2 linked regions of the Nothobranchius furzeri genome follow. The protein of the gene in region 1 interacts with the protein of each later gene in a biochemical or structural test. Links are inferred from orthologs where the notes say so. Each region holds a gene or a part of one and is shown on either strand. Other genes may lie near its edges. The genes, in order: prkcz and pard6b.

Region 1 (12,851 bases):
CATCGTGGGAGAAGCGACGACGAGCTGAGAGTCTAAAGACCAAAGCTGAGAGAACCGCCGAAGTTTCTGCTGCCTATTAGACGTAGTTATTATATTCATGAACAAACCAGTGACAGTCCCAAGCTCCGCCTACTGGTCATTTCTGGGTTTGGGAACATGTGAGTTAAACAACCGGGGGGTGGGGGGGGCTTGTGCGGCATGCTGTTGGTGCCGCTAGTTTTAAACAGCTCATCAGACCACAGGAGTTCTCAGGAAGGCAGAAACCCCCGAGCGCGTGGACAGCGTTCAAAATGCACAGACAAGTCCGTAGCCCCCCAATCCCAGTCGGACCTCTGAGGAAGAGGTCTGAAAAAGAGTCACCTCAGAATGTAAAATGCGTATGTGACCCTGGTGTGAAACCAAATTCTGGTCCCGAACCAGACTACCGACCCGGATGTGAAAGCAGTGTAAGATGTTGACTCTTGACCTAATTTTGACTTGTGTACAAAACAAAAATAACTCCTGTTCTGTTGCCCGCGGTGACGTTCCGGGGTGATTCTGGTGCTTAAAGAGGGTTCAGTAAAACCAAACATTTTTAACAAGTTTATTCTTGTAGATGATTTTAAAAAATCTGTATTATTTTTTATTCAACGCTGTGCTTTAACTAACCTTTTTAAATAAAGTCTTGTGGTTTTATTTTGAAAATCCAAGTTTTTTCCCATACAGATAATTATTTTTGTGCTCAATGAAAACCTTTTTATTTTTTCCGTCATGAATAATTTTCTGGAGGTTTCTTTGTTCTTCTGGAGATCTTTTGGATCAAACGAAATGTTCTTTTCCGCCCTTCCTCGGGTATTCCTGCTCTGCTCGTGTCCGACTCCAACCAGAACCAGGTTCTGTCTAACAGCTGCCACAGACTCACCTACAGATGTGTTTCTGCCTTCTTAATGGTTTATCTTCATCATGAGTGATGAATTCACCAGTGAGCAGCAACTGAAGCACGTCACAGGCAGCATGAGGTTCTTATGAAAAGTCCTCAGTAACATCGTTTAGTTTCCACCACTGCTCAGTTTTAGAGACATGTCGACGACTTCATCTTAGGAATGCTTGCCTGGTTTTTAAGGTTTACATGGACGAGCTCCTCCCTCTGACAGATTGGATTAAATCACGTCTACAAGTGGAACGTCCACCAGGGCCACAGTTAGAGGAGACTGTGAGGGGCCTCACAGGCACACTGCTTTCGGGCACACCGCACTATCATTAATGGGACAAAATATTGGAACAGCCTAAGAAAGAGAATTCCTTCACATTCCAACTTAAACTCCGGCTGAAGGAAAACCAAACCTGAGTCCATCAGTAGTTTGTCCTGACAGTGACGCGTTTCCTTTCTGGTTTTCCTAGTTTTAAACAAAACTTTGCTTTCTGCTACTTTTAGGGACTGCAGACGTAAGTCAGCACTGATGCTACAATCTGGCATATTTACTGATACAATTTGTTGCTGAAGTTCATTAATATGCACTGTCCCTAGTAATTCAATTTCAATTCAAGTTTATTTATAAAGCGCCAAATCACGACAAGAGTCGTCTCAAGGCACTTCACATAATAAACATTCCAATTCAGGTCAGTTCATTAAGCCAATCAGAAATAATGTTTCCTACATAAGGAACCCAGCAAATTACATCAAGTCACTGACTAGTACCAGTGACTATACAGCAATCCTCATACTAAGCAAGCATGCAGCGACAGTGGAGAGGAAAACTCCCTTTTAAAAGGAAGAAACCTCCAGAGAATCCTGGCTCAGTATAAGCAGCCATCCTCCACGACTCACTGGGGATGGAGAAGACACACACACACACACGCACACAAAGACAAAGTAATGTGTCTAGTTAAATTGTGATGTCTTAGTAAATATTCTATTTGGTGAGAGATAAAGTTTTATTGTATTTATCCTAGTGGATCTATAATTAAACGGGTAAACTAGTAGTAGCACATCCAACGTCAAGGAAAGCAAAAAGTTATTATCAGGAGAGGGAGAATGTTTAAGTGGTTAGCATCAGTGTGCTAGTCGATGGCCCCCTCCATGAGGCCACCACAGCTCAGCAGAACATCATTGTAGGTTCTTCTGGGGAGAGAAACACTTAGAGAGAAAATAAAGTTAACAGCTGAAATAGCAGGAAATAATACAGTTAAAGAGCAGATTGTAGAATAAAGCAGTAGAGTGTGGAAAGTGGTCAGTGTGTCCTCCAGCAGTCTAAGCCTATAGCAGCATAACTACAGAGATAACTCTGGATAACCTATCCTATTTAGATGGAGGCATGTTGGAGGCAGGGCAAGGGAGAGCCGTCTTTACCGACTGTACACTCCACCTCCCTCTACTCCCCCACTTGTCCAGATTTAGGCTAACATCAGATTTTAACCATAGGCCCTATCAAATAAAATGTTTTAAGCCTATTCTTAAAAGTAGACAAGGTGTCTGCCTCACGGACTAAAGCTGGGAGCTGGTTCCACAGGAGAGGAGCCTGATAACTAAAAGATCTGCCTCCCATCCTAATTTTAGATATTCTGGGAACCACCAGTAGACCTGCAGTCTGAGAGCGAAGTGCTCGGTTAGGAACATATGGAACAATCAGATTACTGATGTATGATGGAGCTTGATTATTAAGAGCTTTATATGTGAGAAGAAGGATCTTAAAATCTATTCTGAATTTAACAGGTAGCCAATGTAGGGAAGCTAAGACAGGAGAGATATGATCTCTCTTTTTAATTCTCATCAGAACTCTAGCTGCAGCATTTTGGACAAGCTGAAGACTTTTAACTACATTCTGTGGACTTCCTGAGAGTAATGAATTACAGTAATCCAGTCTTGATGTAATGAATGCATGAACTAGTTTTTCAGCATCACTCCTGGAAAGTATGCTTCTAATCTTAGCAATATTCCGAAGGTGGAAAAAGGAAATCCTACAAACCTGTTTAACCTGGGATTTGAATGACATGTCCTGGTCAAAGATAACACCAAGGTTCCTTACTTTGTTCTCGGAGATTAATGTAATGCCATTCAGGTCAGGCGATTGGCTAAGCAATTTCCTTTTCTGGATTTCTGGTCCAAAGATGAGAACTTCCGTCTTGTCTTGATTTAAAAGCAAAAAGTTTAGAGTCATCCAATTTTTTATGTCCTCAAGACAAGCCTGTAATCTACCCAACCGATTAGGTTCATCAGGGTTAATGGATAAATATAACTGAGTATCGTCAGCATAACAGTGGAAGTTTATCCCATGCTGTCTAATGATTTTACCAATTGGGAGCATATATATAGTAAAAAGAATTGGTCCAAGCACTGAACCCTGTGGTACTCCGCAAGTAACCCTGGAGTATGAAGAAGATTTGTCATGTACATTTACAAAATGAAATCTGTCAGACAGGTAGGGTTTAAACCAGCCTAATGCTGTTCCTTTGATCCCTACAACATGTTCAAGTCTTTCTAAAAGAACATTGTGATCAACTGTGTCAAAGGCAGCACTGAGATCTAACAAGACTAGAACAGACACAAGATTCTTATCTGAGGCCATGAGAATATCATTTGTAACTCTCACTAATGCAGTTTCAGTGCTGTGATACTCTCTAAAACCAGACTGAAATTCCTCAAACAGAGCATTGGTGTTTAAATGCTCACATACTTGGATGGCCACTATTTTCTCCAGGACTTTGGATAAAAATGGAAGGTTAGATATTGGTCTATAATTCATTGGGTCATCTGGATCCAGAGAAGGCTTCTTAAGTGAAGGTTTGATTACAGCAACCTTAAAATCCTGTGGTACATACCCATACCCATTTACTAAGGATAGATTGATTATATCTAGAATGGGGGCAGTAACCAAAGGAAATGCATCTTTAAATAATTTGGTTGGGATTGGATCCAAAATGCAAGTTGAAGGTTTAGATGAAGCTAATATTTTTGATAACTCTGAAAGCTCAACTGGATCAAAACGGTTCAAGCACAGATGAGGTTCTACAGTTACCTCTGATGCTGCCTCACTTACTGAGGAAGAAGAAGTCGCATTAGGGAGGATGCAAAAGATTTAGTTTCTAATAGAATTAATTTTACTTGTAAAAAATCCCATGAAGTCATTGCTGCTGAGGGCTAAGGGAATAGATGGCTCAGAGCTATGATTCTGTGTAAGTTTAGCAACTGTACTGAAAAGAAATCATGCATGTTACAGAGAAAAGTGCCAATAAAATCAGATTATAGACGGAGCAAAGAATCCATTCAAGTAGCGGAAATGTAAATTTTGATACAGCCGAGAGATAAAAATGATCATTATTGGCTATTATTATTTTTATAATCAATTAGGCTTATATTAATTTAAAATCATAACTAGTGAATCACACTATAAAATACTAGAACAAACAAAAAAACAAACATCTGTTCAGTTGTATAAACATTTAACCCGAGGGCAAAAACAAACATCAGGTTTAGATTATTTCAGTTTCCATAAATTTAAATTTTTGATGTTTCTGGCAGAATTTTTAAGTTCAAGTTTACTGATTTTTTGTGTCAGCAAATGGTTTGTGTGTCATATTTTAAATGTATTTTATTTTGTTTTACATAAAACTAAACACAAACATTTATAATAATAATAGTTCATTTTATTTAAAAGCGCATTTCTTGACACCCAAGGACACTTTACAGCCATGGGAAAAATAAAACAAGATCAACACATTACAAAAAATATAAAAACACTAAGATATAAAAATGAAAACAATGAAATTAAAACTATGTGGTTTAGAGTTATTGAGTTTAGAAATGGATTGTAAAGCCTTTTATCACAGTACATGTCTAACAATGATAAACACTGACAAATTTACAGTTATGAAACGAATAATGAAATTATTCGTTTAAATTCATAAACTAAAATTAAACTTTTCTAAAATCGGTGCCACAAATCAGCCAGCAGGTGGCGCTTAATGACTATTTCCGTGTTGAACGAAATTCTGTTTAGGCAGATTTTTGTGTCTTAGTTACGGCTGCAAGTTATTTAAAGAAAATAAAAAGCTTTTATAAATATTTACTGTTTTATTTTTCAGAATAACGTGTTCACTGATAGGAGCTCACAGATCCTAGCGTAGTGAACTAGACCAAATACTTCCTTTGCAAATGTTAAATTATAAATGTATTTAGTCTGGCTTGTCAGACTACCCAGATCCCAGAATAAGGAAGAAGACACAAAGTACGCTGATAAATCTTTCCGTACATCAACCAGAACGAATCTGCACCATCCCGATATGAATACGCGACTTTCTCCGCCGCGAGGACGTCGACGGTAGCAGCGGGACAGGTGAATTTAGATTACCGTAACCATAGTGAGGCGGAACGAATCTGTCAAGTTAAATTACAGACGACTTCACAAGTGAGACACTTGTTTTCAAAATAAAATCATTTCCTTCTGTTGAAACACAAGTTACAATCCAAATGACGCAGTATTTCTTTTAATTTGAAATCCAACTTCCGGAACTTTTACCGCCACTCAAGCTAACTTGCTAACGTCTTCGTCATCGAAGCATTAAATGTTTCCCAAACGATAGAAACTTCTCCGAAGCTCTTCTACCTTTCTTCAAAGACGCTGGAGTAAACCCAGGCCCGGACCTCGTTATGTAAGAACTTTTAGTTCCGAGGCGTGACAGCAAGTTCTGGGCCACAAACTTTGGACCTGTTCCGTTGGGCCAGTTTAACCCAACCGAACCATGCATATGCTAGCGTCAAACGGAACCATCATGGACCTGGACTCGGGCTGGGTCAAAGTGAAGGCACATTATGGAGGGTAAGTGAGTCCGCGAGAGGTGTAAGCAGGTGTCTGGCAGGATTTATCCGGATGGAGGGGACGGGGAGACACCTGTGGAATGGAGGCTTCCAGGATGGTGTTCTGGATCAGTTTGTACCCTGGTCATCCATAGACCAGGTCTGGTCTGAGACCTGCCTTCAACTGCCTCTCTCCCAAGGTGTAGAGGAGGAAAATACTTGTTAGGAAAACGTTTAAAGGCTGCCTGAATAAGACAAACATGGACTTTTGTCTTGTAAGATAAAATAGTGACAGTTTGTCACCACTGGAGCGTTTATAGGCCCTTATTTAAAGGTTGCTCATAACCTAAAGGTCATGTAGGGTTTTACAATGAGTTCAACATACTAGAAAGCAAAGGCATGAATAACCTTTTTTCCAATAACATACATGGCTGTGGAAGCTCTTGGATGAAGGCTGGTTGGTTGGTTGGTTGGTGGACCACCTTTGGTGGTGTGTTCGTCACCTTCTGATGGTTTTTAAGGCTCGCCTGAAGACCCACTTTTCTGTCAAGGCTTTCCAGGATTAGCATTTTAAAAATGGTTTTGTTGCCCGGCCTCTTATTGGTTTGCTGTATTTTATGCTCTGTTTTTACTTTTAACTGTCCTATGTTGGTTTCACCATAGTTACATTTGATTTGATGCTTTTATTTTTTATTTGTGTTGTGTTCAGCACCTTGGGCGTCCGCGCCGGTCGCAGAAGGGCCTTTTTAAACAAATACATGCAAATGAAGTGGAATCTTTGTGTTGGGCAGCAGAAACACTTTAGAGCAGAAAAATAAATACAAACTTAGTGATTTGAAGCATTTGGGCTCAGATTAAATGTCAAGCTCTCAATGAAGCTAGAATTTAATGCAAAACGACTGTGTGTGTGTGTGTGTGTGTGTGTGTGTGTGTGTGTGTGTGTGTGTGTGTGTGTGTGTGTGTGTGTGTGTGTGTGTGTGTGTGTGAGTGATTTAATGTACTGCTGTAGTCAGGATGCAGGTAAACAAAACATCCCTCAGGTCTGAGAATTCCCATCACTGCTTTTTCCCTGTAGGACACACACACACACGCACGCACGCACGCACGCACGCACGCACGCACGCACACACACACACACACGTTGACGTGTGGTGAAATCTAAGACCCCGCCCCTATTTAAAGTGGGTTTTTCATGTTTGGGTAGATAAATTCAAGTCACGATCTTCAGCGCCGTGCAGCTCAGAGAGAGTATTGCAGCTGCGGAGGCCTACTCACCGGTCTCCAGCCTCTCTAGCCTAACCCACACAGAGCTTATAATGCTTAGATAATGCTGTGTACTGCTGGTGTAGTTATAAGTTATAACTGCACCAGCAGTACACAGCATTTATAGTTATGACTGTTATCAACCTACCAGTGCTGAAGGAAGCAAGCTAGTTCTGCTAGATCTGGAAGCTGTCACCATTCACACAGGGAGGAGGGGTGACGTCAGCCGGGAGGTCAGGTGTTGTGAGAAATTGTGTTCCCCTGAAATATTCTGCCGTCGGGAGGTCACACTTCAGGCTACCTTCACAACATTTGTGATCGACTTTAATTGGAAAATGATGTCATGTAATAATGTCATGTTTGTGATGTTTTTACATCCATTGGGAGCCTAAGTCACTTCCGGACCACGGGTCCCCGGAAGAACGAATAAATGTCAACGGGGCTAAAAACGCTGTTTTCTCATTCCGCTTGTTTTGTGACATGGATTTCACATATGATGTCCGTGAATGTTAAAGAACATTTTGATACCGAGAACGCGCTTATTTTCTAACGGGTAAACACTATTTTAGGTGTTGTGTGAAAATAAGTCCAGGACTACAAATGCGCTTCACCAGAGTGATGTCATCGAACCAGACATAGAGGAAACTGAGGGGAAATGGCTGTAAGTTCAGCAAACTTCCCACAGGAGGAAAGAACCACCATAAATCTGGTCATGTGGTGAGTAGCAGCTACGCTAGGGGGAGGAGCTTATATGGTGACATCATATATGTGACGTGCTGATTTCTGGTGCGTAGTCATGCTAATCACAAACTTTTACAAGCTGATAAATCTCAAAGTACGTGACTGGCGTGGTGGAAACACGTCATTACTTTTCATGTAAACAGCAGTCCAACACGTGTGATCCAGGGCTAGAAAATGGCTCTGTAGCCCCGTTGACTTAACTTCATGTTTTTGTTCTTCCGGGACCCGTGATGCAGAGGTGACTTAGGCTCCTGATGTGTCCTCCTGAAACCAATAAAGAAGGTACAGTAAAAACATCCTTGTTCACTATTATTTATCGTTAATTATGTAAAAGGATGTAATCTCACTCAGGTTAACCATCTTTAATTCAGGGGAGTTTAGTCCTCATAATGGACAAAACTTCTGTCAATCCAGAAATATTTGCTCTCTACTGCCTAAAGGAAACAGAGTATTTCAGGGGAACATAAATTCCCACAACACCTGTTTCACGTGGATGAGAGCAGCTTCGTAAACAAGCTTGCTCCCAGCCAACGGATCTGGAAAAAGAAAGAAAGAAAACGATCTTTTATGGAGCGATCACTGGCAGCGCCATGGCTGGTGAAGGAGGGTTAGCGAGCCGGGAGGACACTGGAGATCAAGCAAACAATGCTGACTTTTAGTCACCAGATACTGGCGTGAGCCACGGCTGGCGAGCCGGGGAGGCACTGTGTGCTGTGAACACGGACCACCAGCCGAAGGAGACCCGCGTCCAAGTTAACGTTTGAGAAGAAGCCCTTGGAGAAGCACGTCATCTCTGTGACGCGTGGAGAACCACGTCGCCGTTAGTAACGTGTTTGTGGAGATCACATAAACGACGCTGATTTAGCCACTGGCTAGCAGACGAGCGCTGGAGCGTGTTGGGGAGACGGCAGGCTGCAGGAAGAGAGACTCCAGGCTTCCAGGGTGCACTGCTGCCCTCTGCTGGTTCTTTCAGGTTACAGTCATAGTCCAAACACACAAACCGGAGCTCGTATGTCCCTCAACAGCTACTGTATTTCAAGATGGTGGATGACCACGGAGCGTCGACCACAGTTTATGTATTTAAAACGTAAACTTTACAGCTGAGAGGAATATTTAGACTTGATGTTGGTGAGAAATGTTAATTAAAAAGGAGAAGTTGGTGAACTGGAAACAGGATTTATAGTAAACAGGTAAAATATTACACACTGGGGCTTTAAATAGTGGCGGAGGGCTTAGATTTCACCTGATGGTAAAGCATGTAGAAATCCTGTTGGCAGCTCTGCTTCCAGACCGTGAAGTGAACCTGGTGCAGAAACACCAGGAGGTGGTTACGAGGTGGTTCCTGCTTCTGAACACAAACCAGCAGCAGGATAATCAGTTTGTTACATTTATTAGAAAATTCATCAGTCAGACACAGAAGCATTGTTTCTGTGGAAAATCCTGATCCTCTTTATGGTTTAGCAGCTCATTTCTTCTACTGTGTGTGTGTGCATGTGTGTGTGTGTGTGTGTGTGTGTGCATGTGTGTGTGTGCGCGCAGGAGGAGCTAGAGCCAGACTCTAGGCCAGATCAGTTCAGCATGTGTTGATGTATAAAACATAATTATGTGTAAAATAGATAAATTTTCACACTTGCCTTAACTTGGAATAACAGAAGTTTATAAATCTGATGACTGTGTGATTTATGTGTTCATAGATGGTGAAAAACAATAAGAATGAAAGTTTCTACCGTGTCAAAGAAAATCCAAACGGGTTCAGATGAAGGCAGCTGGACTTCTTTGGTTTCATGAAGACGTTTGTCTTCTCACCCGAGGAGCTTTGCCGGTTCAGACTGGAATATGGGAGAGTCAAGCTCATGGCTGTAGCTGTCTGTTGTTGTTTAACGAGCAGAAACTACTGCGAGTACCCCTCCTCTCCATCGCCTGATGAGTCGTTGTGTTGATCAGACACAGGAAGGTGCAAGCTAGACTGAAGCTGCTCAGGAATGAGACTCAAAGCTGCATTATAGGTACTGGGCAGGTGAAATCTAAGCCCCGCCCCTATTTAAAGTGGGTTTTTCACGTTTGACATGGCTAGCTTCTTTTACTCCTCTCACACCATCTATCTTCTCTGTCCATGTTTACTTTGTCCTCTTCAAAGGTGTGTCCCTTGTCCTTCAGGTGTCGTCCCTTGCTGGCCGCGCCCCCTCCGCTGATCACCATGTCCCATGATTGGTCCAGCGTGTAGACTCCTTAGTCCCTGTTCATGGTCCTGGGTCCACGCCTCCTTGTTTCAACTGCTTCTGTGATCCATCTTTTAAACGTTATTGTTCTGTGTTTGTGATCCGTGTTTTGTCCCAGTATGCGGCAGTCCTGAGGGGAAAATGTCTTGTTGATGCCAGAGGTCAGAGGTGAATGGGCCGACTGATTCAAGCTGATAGAAGACCCTAACCCTCGTTACAACCGAGGAACGCAGCAAAGCATTTGTGAAGCCACAACACGCACAACCTTGAGGCGGATGGACTACAGCACCACTCATCTCCACTACAAACAGGAACAAGAGGCTACAATTAGCACCAGCTCACCAAAACTGGACAGTTGAAGACTGGAAAATGTTGCCTGCTCTGATGAGTCTCCGTTTCTGTTGAGACATTCAGATGGTCGAGTCAGAATTTGGCGTAAACAGAACGAGAACATGGATCCATCATGCCTTGTTACCACTGTGCAGGCTGGTGGTGGAGGTGTCATGGTGTGGGGGATGGTTTCTTGACACACTTTAGGCCCCTTAGTGCCAACTGGGCATGGTTTAAATGCCACGGGCTTCCTGAGCATTGTTTCTGACCATGTCCATCCCTTCATGACCACCATGTACCCGTCCTCTGATGGCTACTTCCAGCAGGTCATGAAGCTCCAGTCATTTCTAACTAGTTTCTTGTACATGACGATGAGTTCACTACTACAGCGACCCCCACGGTCACTAGATCTCACCCCGATAGAGCATCTTTGGGATGTGGTGGACCGGGAGCTTCGTGCCCTGGATGTGCATCCCACACATCTCCATCAGCTGCAAGATGCTGTCCTATCAATATGGCCGACATTTCTAAAGATGCTTTCAGCACCTTGTTGGATCAACGCCACGTAGAATTAAGGCCGTTCTGAGGGAGAAAGGGGGTCAAACACCGTATTAGTGTGGTGGTCCTGGTAATGCTCTAGGGGAGTGTAGATGTTTACCACTGAGTTAAATGAAACAGGTGTGGGTCTGATTTAGGACCACACCTGGGCGTAATTTAGGCTTCAATAATGAACCAGTCTGGGTGGCATGTGGAGCTGCAGTGGGAAGCTAGCCGTGTAAACTTCCTGCTGTCGTTGACAGTAGATCCACATTATTACACCTCGGTGAAGTTAGCTTTGTCCCAATTATGTAATATTCAAGCTCCAGTTCACACACCTGAGTGTGTTTGTGTGTGTTGTAGTTCCACACTCAGGTGTGTGGGTGTAGACGGGTGCTGTAGTTCCTACTGAGGAAGCCTGTCTGCTTCACCTCCAGTCCAGCTGAGGTTTACCTTTAACCTGACAAACCTGGCAGACGCCGTCTTACACACACACACATGTACACGCTCACACACACACACGCTCACACATGCACACACACACACACACACACACACATGCACACGCTCACTCATGCACATGCTCACACATGCACGCACACGCTCACTCATGCACATGCTCACACATGCACACACACACACATGCACACGCTCACTCATGCACATGCTCACACATGCACACACACACACACATGCACACACTCACTCATGCACACACACTCACATGCACACGCTCACTCATGCACATGCTCACACATGCACACACACACACACACACACACACACACACACATGCACACACTCACTCATGCACATGCTCACACATGCGCACGCACACACGCACATGCTCACACATGCACACGCTCACACACACATTCACTCATTCACACGCTCACACATGTACACGCTCACACACACACACGCTCACTCATGCACATGCTGACACATGCACACACACATGCACACGCTCACACATGCGCACGCACACACACACGCACATGCTCACACATGTACACGCTCACACATGCACACACACACACATGCACACGCTCACTCATGCACATGCTCACACATGCGCACGCACACACACACGCACATGCTCACACATGTACACGCTCACACATACACGCTCACTCATGCACACACACACACATGCACACGCTCACTCATGCACATGCTCACACATGCGCACGCACACACACACGCACATGCTCACACATGTACACGCTCACACACATACACGCTCACACATGCACATGCACACACACACACACACACATGCACACGCTCACTCATGCACATGCTCGCACATGCTCACACATGCGCACGCACACACACGCACATGCTCACACATGCGCACGCACACACACACGCACATGCTCACACATGCGCACGCACACACACACACGCACATGCTCACACATGTACACGCTCACACATGCACACACACGCACATGCACACGCTCACTCATGCACATGCTCACACACGCACACACACACACACACACACACACACACACACACACACACACACACACACACACACATGCACACGCTCACTCATGCACATGCTCGCACATGCTCACACATGCACACACACACACACACACACATGCACACGCTCACTCATGCACATGCTAACACACACACACGCTCACTCATGCACATGCTCACACATGCACACACACACACACACATGCACACGCTCACTCATGCACATGCTCACACATGCACACACACACACACACTCATGCACATGCTCACACATGCGCACGCACACGCACATGCACACACATGCACACGCTCACTCATGCACATGCTCGCACATGCTCACACATGCACACACACACACACGCACACATGCACACACGCTCACACACACACACATGCACACACGCGCACACACACACACACACACACACACACACACACACACACACACACACACACACACACACACACACACACACACACACACACACACACAC
Region 2 (12,210 bases), about 3.2 Mb from region 1:
TTTGGATCTAAATAAACAATTTAAATTAGCCGACTTACTTTTAAACTTAAAAATTGTCCCCGAAGTAGCTGCTGGCTTCTGATCCACCGTCCTTTGGAAAAAAACGTGCTGTATTCTGGGTAATGTTTGACCAAGGCTAGGCTACAAGACACCTCCCTTGTATCCTTGCTCAGCTAGCTAAACGGCTGACAAACGGAGAGCACACGCCTCGGTAGAACATGAACATTTGAACACGTCTTGGCGGCTCCTAGGCAACCGGGGCGGGGCCAAGACATCAAGGCGAGGTTCCTTGACATTGAGAAACACCGAAAGAGTGCTGTGATGGGACTGCTACTCCGTCGCCATCTTAGTTTAGCTCAGCTGCACTAACATTCTGCCCATTTGGCTGATGGAGCGTTGTGATTGGCCAGCCACGGTACTGGCTGGGGCTGCGGAGATTCCAATGAAGCGTTGCAGAGCAAAATCCTTTTGGTCTAGATTCTGGGCTAGCTTTACTGTGCTGGTAGCTCATGTTAACGTTAGCAGTTAGCTTTTCAGTTCGCTAACCTTCAGTAAAAATCACAAGATGACATTTGCTGGCATCATGGTGGAGCCTGAAAGTAACGGGAATAGAGTCGCATCATTGGAGGGGAAGCAAAGAAAGCTTAAAGAGCTAAAACCGTAGTAAACAGCGCAGCCTACACTCATTGGTTTCAGTTTTAGCAAAGTCCTAATTTTAGTCTTTTTTGTTGGTTTGTGAGCAGCTAATAATCATGCATTCATAAAACATGCAAAGTACAACATCCCGTCCGACAACATCGTTATCTTCAAAGCCCGTGGCAGAGTTGTTTACAGCAGTTTTTAACCTGTAGGGGGCAGAAGTAGGAAACCTATTAAGTGTTACTTTAGATGACACGTATTACGACCGCTTGACATACATTGTAAACGTGCCATAAAATGACCACCGGTCCACCCATAGAGGATGTGCTGATGTGCCTTTATTTTTCCGCTGGTGTTTTGCATAAAAAACGTTGCGTGTAAAGCACCGCGCTGTGGAAGACGGCAGAACATTTCCTGTTTTTTGTTCTGGGATTTAAATAAATGCTATGATCAAATATGAGAAAAAAACTGATGACTGCCATTAAACAGAAGATTTCACATCCAAATGTTTATGTTTTCACCACAGAAGCTCTAAGAAACGATCCTTTTAGGTGATCTCAGTTGCTTTTCATCCATAAACCTATCAGTAAGGGCTGAGTGATTGTTATGCATCTACCTGCAGCTAACAGTCCAGCTGCAGTGTGAAACTGTTCCTAATATTGTGTCCATCAGTGATGCAGACGCTGGGCAGGAAGTGCTCTTGTGAAAACAAGAAGAAACGAAAGCAACAGATTATCTCAGAGGTTTAGTATTTATTTGAGTTCTGATTCATTAGATCTGTAATTGTGTCACCCTCGCGCTAGCCGTAGTTATAACCTTCCTGTTTCTGTAACGGTAATAAGCATTTCCTACATTATTATAACGCTGCAGCTGGAGACTTCCTGGCCCTGCTGAAGCTGGGGTGTCGTGTCAGCTTCCTGGTGGGATATAATGGATTAGCAGTAATATTGCTGGAGATAATTATGCTGCAAAGAAAGTGTCTCATTATCCCGTATGGATCTTGTGATCCAGTGTGCACCAGCGGGGAAGTGGATACTCAAGACGTGCGTGTAATGGGAGTATTGGAGTGAGTGTACGCGTGAATGCATCACTGGAGAAGGGGATTATATTCTCCCCCTCAGTAGATACACTCATGTATAATGTTGTTAGATAGATTTTAATCTGTCTGGTAAAAATGATGTTATTTGATGCTCGTGAGAACCATCGATGGCTCCTTCTACCTTATAACTGGTGAAGCGGAAATGATGCGTCCAGAGCTTGTCTGGAAAACCCATGTGTGCCATCCTTCTTGGTCGGACTTGTTCAAGCATCAGGAAGGAGTTGAGTTAGTTGTTGATCCTGTTTGTGCTAGCGTATCGGTTACGTCCTGCAGAGATGAGAGGTTAAGTATCACCGCGTGCGTCCTTATTAAGCTTTCATTTTCTCCCCCTCTGCTTTGCTTCCTAACTCCATTCAAAGTGTGGGAAACCAAAGCAGCCACTGCATAACTGGAATTTCTAACCGGCTGATTACGTTCTCTGTGTGGGTTGGGGGGGGGGACCGATTCGGCTAACGCCGCAGCTCGATGCTAAGGTGACTTATTTGAGATGGAGAGAAACAAAGCAGGCTAACTGGGTCGTTTTCCTTTCATTGATTAGAAATGAAGTTATGCGTTTAAGTTTGAGATCTCATGCAGATTAAAGCAAAACCAAAAACCGTTCAGGACAAAATATCCTGGAAGCAAATGAAGCTTTATTTTTATTTTTCATTACTTTTAATGCAGAGACTTTTGGAATAGAGACCAAGAACCTGATCTGGCATTGTTTTTGTTTCTCATTTAAGGTCTTTTCATTGAAAGAATCTGGAAGTTTCCAAGTGGCATCGGTAATGAAGTTCAGTTACTGTAGCGTCCTCTCCTAACAAGCATTCAGTTTCATTTAAAAGCAATCCGGACGCAGTAATGATGCTTTTCTACATTTATAACCCATAGCTGTAATTAGGTGGTTGGGATGCATTTTGTACCAACATATTTAATAACTGACCAGTGGAGGGTTTAACTGTCCAGAAGCTAAGCTGGTAACACGGAGGCTAACTACTGGGTTATTATGAGACTCTGTAAACATATTTAAAACGTAAAGCTTAAAGAGCAAGTCACCCCCTACCAGATTGATGGTAAATGGCAAATGGCCTGAATTTGATGTAGCATCTTCTAGAGTCCTGGAACCCCTCAAGGCACTTTACAACACAATCAGTCATTCACCCATTCACACACACTGGTGGGGATGAGCTACCATGTAGCCACAGCTGCCCTGGGGCGCACTGACAGAGGCGAGGCTGCCGAGCACTGGCGCCACCGGTCCCTCCGACCACCACCAGCAGGCAACGTGGGTTAAGCGTCTTGGTCAAGGATACAACGACAGCGACAGACTTGAGTGGGGCTTGAACCTGCAACCTTCCGATTATGAGGCGAGCACTTAACTCCTGTGCCACCGTCACCCCAGATTCTAACTCCACTCCCACTTCCTGTTAAGCGCCTCGTGATTTTTATCTTGAGAGGCGCTATAGAAATGATTCTTTCTTCTTCTTCTTCTGTTTGAAAAAGGCAACAAATGCTGTTGCCTAGCAGACCGAGAGGGCGGAGCCGGTAACAAATACACACACAGGCTCTTAACGACATTGTGACATCATATGGTACCAGCTAACGTTCTAGGGTGCCTCTTAGCCAATAGCGATGGCAGATTTAAATTCAAATGCAGTGCAGAGTTTTTACCTGACAACGACACAACTCTGACAGTTTTAGGCAGAAAAAAGTGCAAAACTATTGACGACACGTGTCTGCAGCACGATTACACACATTTATATAGTTTATCAGAAAAAAAATGTTGATTTGGGGGTGACTTGCTCTTTAAATTATCGAGCACACCGGCAAATGTGTCTTCATCACACCTGCTTATGAAATTACTACGAAGTTGTGATTAAGGAACATTTAGTCTTTTTTCACGTGTTTTCTCAGGCTTGCCTCCATTAATCATTAGCTAAACACATACCTGTGCACTCTGTGGGTACAGCACGTCACAGACGAGCTGTGAAATGTTTACCAAGCGCTGCGTTACTAAAAGCAACGTTCTGTATGTCCTGCCTTTACTCAACCACACACAGCACCCTCAGAATAACCTCCGAGTCAGAGATGTGGTGGAAAGTTTGTTTTCATGCTGTAATCATCAGAACAGGGCCTTGTTCGGGTTAGGGGTCCTCTTTGATTCTAATGATTGATTAAATCAACCGTGCCCGTTCAGCTCATGTGGACAGAAGTAAGTTGGGTACTGGGTTAGGTTCTGATCCTGGATAAAGCCCCAAGCAGACAACACAAGTCAAACGTCCAAGTCCCATTCTCCAGTCTCCGTTTCCAGAATACAGGAGGATGCTGGGTGCAGCTGATGCTGTTAAACAAACACAAACGTGATGCTATCTCAACATTTACACCTGTTGTCGGTGCCCTTTCTGCCCTAGTTCCTAACGTAAGGCACCTACGTGACCGCTGTGGACCCTCCAGACTTCTGACAGACTTCTGTGCCGGTCAGGAGTGTTCTGGACTCTGACCCCACTGAGCGTTAAAGAGACAGAAGCCGCTGAGACCTAGATCAGAGATCCAGTGGGTAGCACTGGACTTATTCTACTGAAACCCCCTCATCTACTTCTGCTCAGGCAACAGCTTAGTAAGCTAGCACACCTAGCTACCACAGATCTGGCCAAACTTCCTGTCCAGCTTCTCTGAGCCAAAAAAGCGTTATTCATGCACATGGAGAGGTGTCAGCTGAGGAGGAGGGATGGTGAGAGGGCAGCTTGATGGACGGATCACGATCCAATCATGAATATCGGGACGTTCACCGTGATTGGATGAGGTTTTTCCAGGATCATACGTTTCAGATGCGATTAAAATTATTCCTTATTTTTTTAAATAACAACAGTTTATTGGTTTCCATTGGTATGTGAAGAGTAGTTGAAGCAAAATGTCCAAAATGCTCCAGAATAATATCTCTTGCTTAAATGCTTGCCTTCTTTATGCAAATAAACGATCACGCATGCCGCTGGAGCCGCTTGGTTTCTTGTTTCTGCTCCGTGTGAGCGCCACCGAGTAGCCCCGAGGGACCGTCATGTCCTATGACGTAAAAGATGTAAAAGAGTGAAACGAGACTGGGAACATCACCTTCTCACGTGCATGACTGCCTCCTGTGTACGCGCGTATCTGTGTGTGTGTGTGTGTGTGTGTGTGTGTGTGCGTGTGCGCGCTTTGTTGATTCTGTTACTACAACACACACAGAAGGAGACTTCCTGGTCCCCTGCGGAGCTGTTGCAGCTGCATGCCTTCACTGGGAGGACAGCTCGTGTGTTCAGGGCCGACACCGTTATCGTGAGCCTCAGTACACCAAACTTGTGCCTCACGGGAACTGAAATGTGAGACCGCCGCTCTTTCCCGGGACAATCGATCCTTTGTTTTGGTTTTGGAATGAGGTGGGGAGTGGTGCAGCACGTACCTGTCAGGACCTGACCGCTAGGATCCTCATCAGCCACCTGAGCAGATACCCAGATAGCTCACACTGAAGCAAGCTCATTCTAAAATGACGAAAGTGAGTGTTTCATTTAGAGACCACTTTCATCTGAAAACAGATTCATCCCAGTGTTATAAATAGGAAAAACGGTCTAAAAGGTGAGCGCTTTGATGTCTCTTTCACAGCGATACCGAGCCAAAAAAAGTCACAGATGTTAATGTTTACCGCCGTGTTTTATGCTGGTTAACTATTAGGAATCCAAGGTTCAGTTTGTGAGTTGGCCATGACCGAACACACCTCCTTATCAAAGACAGATATCGTTTTTTTAACTCGCCCAACAGAAAGTTTCTTCATTTGTTTGATCCAGTTCAAATTACAGATGTAAAGCATGCAGCTTATTTTGACTGTAAGACGCTGGGAAACGACGCGTTTGGCTCTTTCGGGTCTAGCTGAGACCGCTCGCGCCGCACCAAACCTCACGAATCAAAACAATAACTCTTCACCAGTGTGTTGCCTCATAAAGCTCAGTTCCACGAAGCCGCCGCACGGCCGTAAAAACACAACTCATCATTTTACGCTCGCAGTTTGAGCCGAAGGTGAAGTACAGGAAGCTTTTATTTATTCAGCTGGCGCTCCTGTTTCAGGGGGCAGAAGTTTGTAGGAGGAGTGTGGGGGTTGGGTTAATCACATGAGTCTTACTCATTAGTTCATTCACTGACATGTTTTTACTGTGTGGGCGTCGGACGAGCCCCCGCATCGTGAGAACAAACATCTCAGCTCTAAAGCCGATCTTCATCTGCATACGTCACACGTCACGTGATCAGGAAGCAGAACGTCCATGTGTTAGGAGATCGTTTTGGGTCGCTGCTGTAAAAAAAAGTGAGGCGCGAACCGGAAAAGCTTCTGCCGATCACAATTCAACAACGGATTATGAAAGAACGGATAACGCTCGAAACGCGCGGATTCTTCCTGATGTAAGAGGTGAGTCTCCGCTGTTTTGGTTGTGTTGGCGTCAACATCATCCTAGCGCGCAACATTCTGCGAGTCTTAATAAAACAGTAAAAACGGAGAGAAACGCTGGCAGCGAATGAGTTGTTATTCATAATATGCCAACGTCTCGCTTCTGATTGGCTACCAGCAGCAAGACTCTTCCGCTGCTTTCGTTTGTGATTTTATTGATGTTTTCTCTCCAAAAACAAAACAAGCCAGAATACCGGGGGTGCTAACGGTTAGCTTCTACTAGCTGAGACACGCTCTGCTCTCCTCTTGCTGTGGGCGGTCCTAAGCCCAGGTGGGCGGGGTCAGTGAGTACTAACTTCCTCTGTGACTGGCTCTGCTGCTAATGCAGGCGATGGGGGTTGAAGATGATGTTCACGTGTGAAACTAACGGTGAAGGTCACACTGTTTCTATGGAAACAAGGCCTTTAAAGCGGCAGTGTTTAAACACTAAAGCACACTTGCAAGTGTGAGGTCAGATGGTTCGGCCCATCTGTGCCACCAGTCATATGCCTCTTAAATAAATAACACAGCATGTGCTCTAAACACCATATGTCGGGTTGTTTTGGGTTGGAACGGGCCTGAAAGTCCTGATTTTGGTGCTGAGCGACTTGTTGGCTGGTGCAGCTTTTGCATCAGGCTGACCAGAGGATAGCTGCAAGGATCAACATCTTCTCTGTTCTTCTGCAACGCCTGAAGCCGAAAACGTTATTCCTGCTTCCAAACGTTCGTGATGCAACCGACCGTCAGCCTGAACAACCGTTTCATGTGCTGCCAGCTGATTACTAGAAAATTAACCAGTTTTGTTTCCCTCTCCCTCCTTTGGTCTGAAACTTTCCCCCATCTTCCCCTTCCCCTTCTTCCTTTTCCTGTTTTGCAGAGGAAGCTGACTACGCGGCGTTTGGCACAGACTCTCTGACCAGGAAGAAGAACACGGTTCTTTCAGCGGTTCTTCTTCGGCCCGACGCCAACAAGAAAAAGCCGCCGGTGATCATCAGCCTCCCGAAAGACTTCCGGCCCGTGTCTTCCATCATCGATGTGGACATCCTTCCAGAGACGCACCGCCGCGTTCGTCTGTACAAGCACGGCCAGGAAAAGCCGTTGGGGTTTTACATTCGCGATGGCTCGAGCGTGCGGGTCACCCCACAGGGCCTGGAGAAGGTCCCGGGGATCTTCATCTCACGCCTGGTGCCCGGCGGCTTGGCCGAGAGCACCGGCCTTCTGGCTGTTAACGACGAGGTTCTGGAAGTGAACGGCATCGAGGTGGCTGGGAAGTCTCTGGACCAGGTGACGGACATGATGATCGCTAACAGCCACAATCTCATCATCACCGTGAAGCCTGCCAATCAGCGAAACAACGTCGTTCGCTGTGGAGGAGGAGGGGGCGCTGCCTCTGGCAGTTCAGGTCGCTCGTCAGACAGCGGCGCCAGCTACTACGGCTACTCGGCGCACGGCGCCGTGGCTTCGATGCCAACGCACATCATCCAGAACTTTAGCGCCGGGGAACTGGAGAGCGACGAAGACGAGGACCTGGTGATTGAAGCGGGAGGCGAGGCTGAAGCCATCCGGCACGCTCCCTCTGACTACAGCATCCCTTCGGTGCCTCGCTACGAACCACACCTCAACCTCCGCTCCCACTTCAGCTCCGCCTACTCCATCAACGCCAACGGGACGCTGCATGGCAGTGGCAGCAGCGGGTCACCGAATAACATTAATGCTAATTCGGCCTCGCCGTCCCCAGACAGAGCAAAGGAGAGGCGGAGCCTGGAGGAGGATGGCACCGTTATTACGCTGTAGACCCAAACCGGAGAACAGAAAGAGACACCTCCACATGCTTCAGGAGGTGGTGGCAGAGTCACGGAGCAACATTTCAAACCTGTACCTGTACTCTTGAAACACATTTTAATGTAAACGTCCGCAAAAGTTCGTACATTCTAGTAACGTCCACATTCAACACTAATGCTTCTCTACATGCCAAGCTAGTGTGCCATAGTGCTGACCCACAGGCACACCAACGTCTTCAGCGTGGATCTAGTTTTAACCTTTTAACGGCGTGTTGAAGAGGTCCATGAGGAACATCAGTCACCTATCTGCTTGGTGGTTCCTACGGGGTAATGCCAAAGCAGTTGACCAAATCCTGACAAACGCGTTTTTAAGCGTTGGCTTGTGTTTCCTGGCCAGAAGACGTTTAACCACTGCTCATATTCGTTTTCCACTTTGTTTTTACATCGCTGTGATCAACGACGGACCGAAGAAGCCTGCGTTTTTAATCTTTGTGTCTTTTTTTTTTCTTCTCAGACCAAGTTCAAGTAGAGAAACGTTCCAAATTCACACCTGGATGGCCTCTTAAGCCATATCTCACTACCTGCTGGGGACAAAAGCAGTTTCCAAAATGCCTCAAAATCTTCACGAGGTCCTTTCAGTCGCGGGGCGGCGCTTCTCTGTTGCTTTTTGAACAAATTTACTTTCCATATGGTCTCCAGCTTGTCTGGAGCTACCCTCGGTTTAGTTTTCATCAGTCAGTAAGTACGAAACGATTTGGGGAGGTATTAAGCTCCTGGGACCGTTTTTTAATCTCGCCCTGCTGTTTGGGATGAGCAGAGCCTCGTGAACGTGGAGAAAAATATATTTATACATAACTTTAGTCCTTTAAGACGGCGTCCCTACCTGTGGACGCCGGTTCTCGGGGGTTTAGGACACTTTGTGGCTAAATTGCAGAATAAAATAAAAACTGTTTTTGGCTTTGCACAAGCGTCATGCACCCTTGTGACCCGGCCTTTATTTTATGCCTCCAACCGAAACTCGCAGCCCTTTGAGATAAAAACCTGTTTGTTTGTTTTGTTGTTGTTGTTGTTGCACTCCATAACACAACGTGGACCGTTTCCTGATGTACATTTGGGGATAAAGGAAGGTGACGTTGAACCTGAGCTTCCTCCTCGTTTTCGTCTGATCCAGACCCCGCCGAGTACGCCCCAGGACGCTTCCACGTTTCGTCTTTAAATCCATCAGCTGAAAGCCGTTTAAACATTTCAGTTTTACTTCGGTGAGTCCGTTTTTATTTGTATGAAGTGTCGATGATTATTCGTTATTACAGCCGCAGAGGCTGGTCGGTAATCCAAACATGACCTGGTTGGAAACAAAAACACGCTCGGCGGCGTTGGATGCAAGCAAATTAGTGTATTTGCTGAAGGTGAAGCTGATCTTTGTGTACCTGCGGATCATGTACTGTTGAAGTTGCTGCAGCAGCTTGGATATGATGATGTTCAAAGCAAAGAAGCCTTCAGAATTCGTTTGATCAGTTATTGTTCCCCCAAACGGCTCACGAACGTCTTTAGAATGAATCTAGTTTTGAAGCGGCAGGAAAAACTCCTCTGATCATGAAACGGATCGGTTACATTTATGGGAAGCGTCCGTTTCCGTTGCACGCTGCAGCAAACCGCCTCTGTGGAGTGAGAGCAGGTGGTCTATCGTGTCTACTATTGATTTTTTAAGCATTCGCTCTCCTGCTAAAGTGCTACGCCTTGCTTTAGCATTGATTTCTATCTTGCATATTAAAGTAAAATCAGCACACAGCCACTTTCAGGCTTCATGTGAGTCCGTGTGCACTCGTGGAGACACTTTTAGGATCATTATCATGCTAATTAGCCTCATTAGTAGCTCTGTTTATCCTCTGATGAACTTCTACGTTAGTGACTGGAATAAACATGGCTGCCTGCACAGGTACTGCCTTTGTCGGTGGAGCGCCAAGCTCAGTCGTTCCTAACTTTTCAGCCACGAATCACAACTCTTGAGTTGAAGTTTGGTTTTTCTACTTGTTGATAATTTATTGCCGGTGTCTCTGACTTCACCACAGGACACCGGGATTGTAACCACACCGACATTTTAATTTATTCTGTAATCCTGATAAATGTTCTTTCTTTTTCACGTTCTGATGTTTTTACATGTTCACACTTATTGTTTCCAGCATCAAAGTGGCGGTACGGTAGATATTTTACTGTCGGTTGTGGATCATTTCAGTTTCTGGTTTTAAATATCAAAAAGGAGATTAAATAAAAAGCTATTTTCTTCATACTGTGAATTATGATTTTGTGTGGCAGTGAAACGGTTCTGTTAGCAACCTGAAATGTTTCACTTGTCGGGTTTTGTAGGCAACAGGGCGATGATTTTTGCTGCCAGATAAATTCTCTACTATAGATTTGTAATGAAGAACGTCAGTATTTTCATATCGATGCTTTCTAAATATGCGATGTGCGTTTTTATCATTTGAAGGAGACTGTTTTATGATTGAAGTGGAGATTTAAGAATACATGTAAACCTGTAACTGGTGATCGGCAGAGCTGGATAAAATAAACTAAATATGTAGCAATGAGAACTGTTTGGTGTTTTTTAATGTGTGGAAACAAACGTGCAGAGTTTGCTTTAATCGACACAGGAAATCAGCAGGGTGTGTGTCGTCTGATCTGAATCTGAGCTATTCAACAGCTCGCCATTTTCTAATTGTTCGGATAAGCTAATAAATGCTAAGATTTGTCTAAAATGTGAAATACAATATGGTCAGTTTTACTGTGGGCTAATTATATATTACTGATATTTATTACTCATAATACTTAGAAGATGGATTTTAAAATAAGTTTGGTGCATTTTCAGTAAAGAAAAATTATCACGTCCTACTGATATTGTTCTTATATGTCTGTTAAAGGATCAGAGGATGTTAATGATCGTTATCACGAACAATGAACAAGTACACGTTTTAATTATGAAATTAATTACTTTTCTCATTCTTGTCAAAAAGAAATAGATTTGATTGATAACCAAAATAATTTTTCTGAATAATTTTTCTTGTGGCGCTTAAACATCTCTACTGGAAAAACAACCCTCACTATGTCTACTTTATGGAGAAATGCTAGAATAGTAAATTTTATTCTAAAAAGTAACTTAAATAACAAGACTATTCATTCGACCACAAATTAATCATCATCTTACTTGTAGAAAAAATTATTTACAATTTCACAAAATGTTAATTATGATTAATCGATTAATCAACTGTACATACAGACGCAGGGCGACCAGCTGTGTTGATAGTTTATTTAGCCGTAATGTGTTGCTGCCACCTGGTGGACACGTGGTGAACTACCATTCTTTTGTGCGCCGCTTAGATCATTAAAAGTTCAAAGCGCCTCTGAACAAGAACACTAAAATGATTTAAGTTACATTCGGAACATATTTCTAACACATTATAAAACCAATAAATTATATGCGGCCCTTTTTGGGAAGACACGTTTCAACAACTGCTTCTGTTGTCACGCCGCTAGCCTGGAGTGACAGCTGAGAATCACGTGACGTGACGTGTAACCAACATGGTGGCGCTGAGCTGAGACCGAAACGGACACCGACCGACCCGACACCCTGGCTTTCGTTAGCTTTCATCGTTACCTGCTCTTTGGCAGGGCCAGGCCGGTGATGACGGCCTGAGAGAGGATCGGTTACACGATCGAGAGATGCAGGAACAGCCACACGCGCCGCCGCAGCAGCACGCGCAGTCAGAAAACAGTAAAACCAAGAGCATGTTTCTGTCCAGGGCGCTGGAGAAAATCCTCGCTGATAAGGAGGTGAAGAGGAGCCAGAACAGCCAGCTGCGGAAAGCCTGTCAGGTGGCGCTCGGTACGTGACTCGTGTTGTTTTCTGAGCAGCTCGCCTGTTTTACGTCTTTATTCATTCCAACGTTTTATTTATGCTTAGCTTGATGGAGAGGAGCTACTTAATTAGCTTTAGCACCTTTAGCCTTTACCGTCTGCTCCTCTGCCCGTTGGCACCCTGACAGCGGGTGAATAATTATGAGTTAACACGGCTCTCGTACTTTATTATAAACATTTGTTCGTGTATTAAATTGTCACCACTGTCAGGTTATTCAAGGTTACTGGTAAAGATATTGTTAGCATGTTGCGGCTAGTTTAGCTAAACAGACCAATCCTGGTGTTGTACGTAGCACTGTCACCCAGCCAGACAGTCCAGTCCTGCATCTGTTGGCAGACCGTTTTAACATATA

Evidence for each region.
Region 2: the proteins of prkcz (region 1) and pard6b form a complex in vitro, tested with the Homo sapiens proteins (2 studies listed by BioGRID). The link is inferred for Nothobranchius furzeri from reciprocal best matches to the Homo sapiens genes PRKCZ and PARD6B.

What each region holds. Positions count from the first base shown.
Region 1 is NC_091755.1:44,873,810-44,886,660, forward strand, and holds the start of prkcz (protein kinase C zeta type), read left to right. Parts: upstream 1-5,498; 5' UTR 5,499-5,718; coding exon 5,719-5,795; intron 5,796-12,851. UniProt on the Homo sapiens protein: Calcium- and diacylglycerol-independent serine/threonine-protein kinase that functions in phosphatidylinositol 3-kinase (PI3K) pathway and mitogen-activated protein (MAP) kinase cascade, and is involved in NF-kappa-B activation, mitogenic signaling, cell proliferation, cell polarity, inflammatory response and maintenance of long-term potentiation (LTP).
Region 2 is NC_091755.1:48,088,072-48,100,281, reverse strand, and holds the end of pard6b (partitioning defective 6 homolog beta), read left to right. Parts: intron 1-5,770; exon of another isoform or gene 5,771-5,887; coding exon of another isoform or gene 5,888-6,149; intron 6,150-7,044; coding exon 7,045-7,961; 3' UTR 7,962-8,099; downstream 8,100-12,210. Other genes in the region: arfgef2 (brefeldin A-inhibited guanine nucleotide-exchange protein 2), read left to right, coding at 11,663-11,825. UniProt on the Homo sapiens protein: Adapter protein involved in asymmetrical cell division and cell polarization processes. Probably involved in formation of epithelial tight junctions.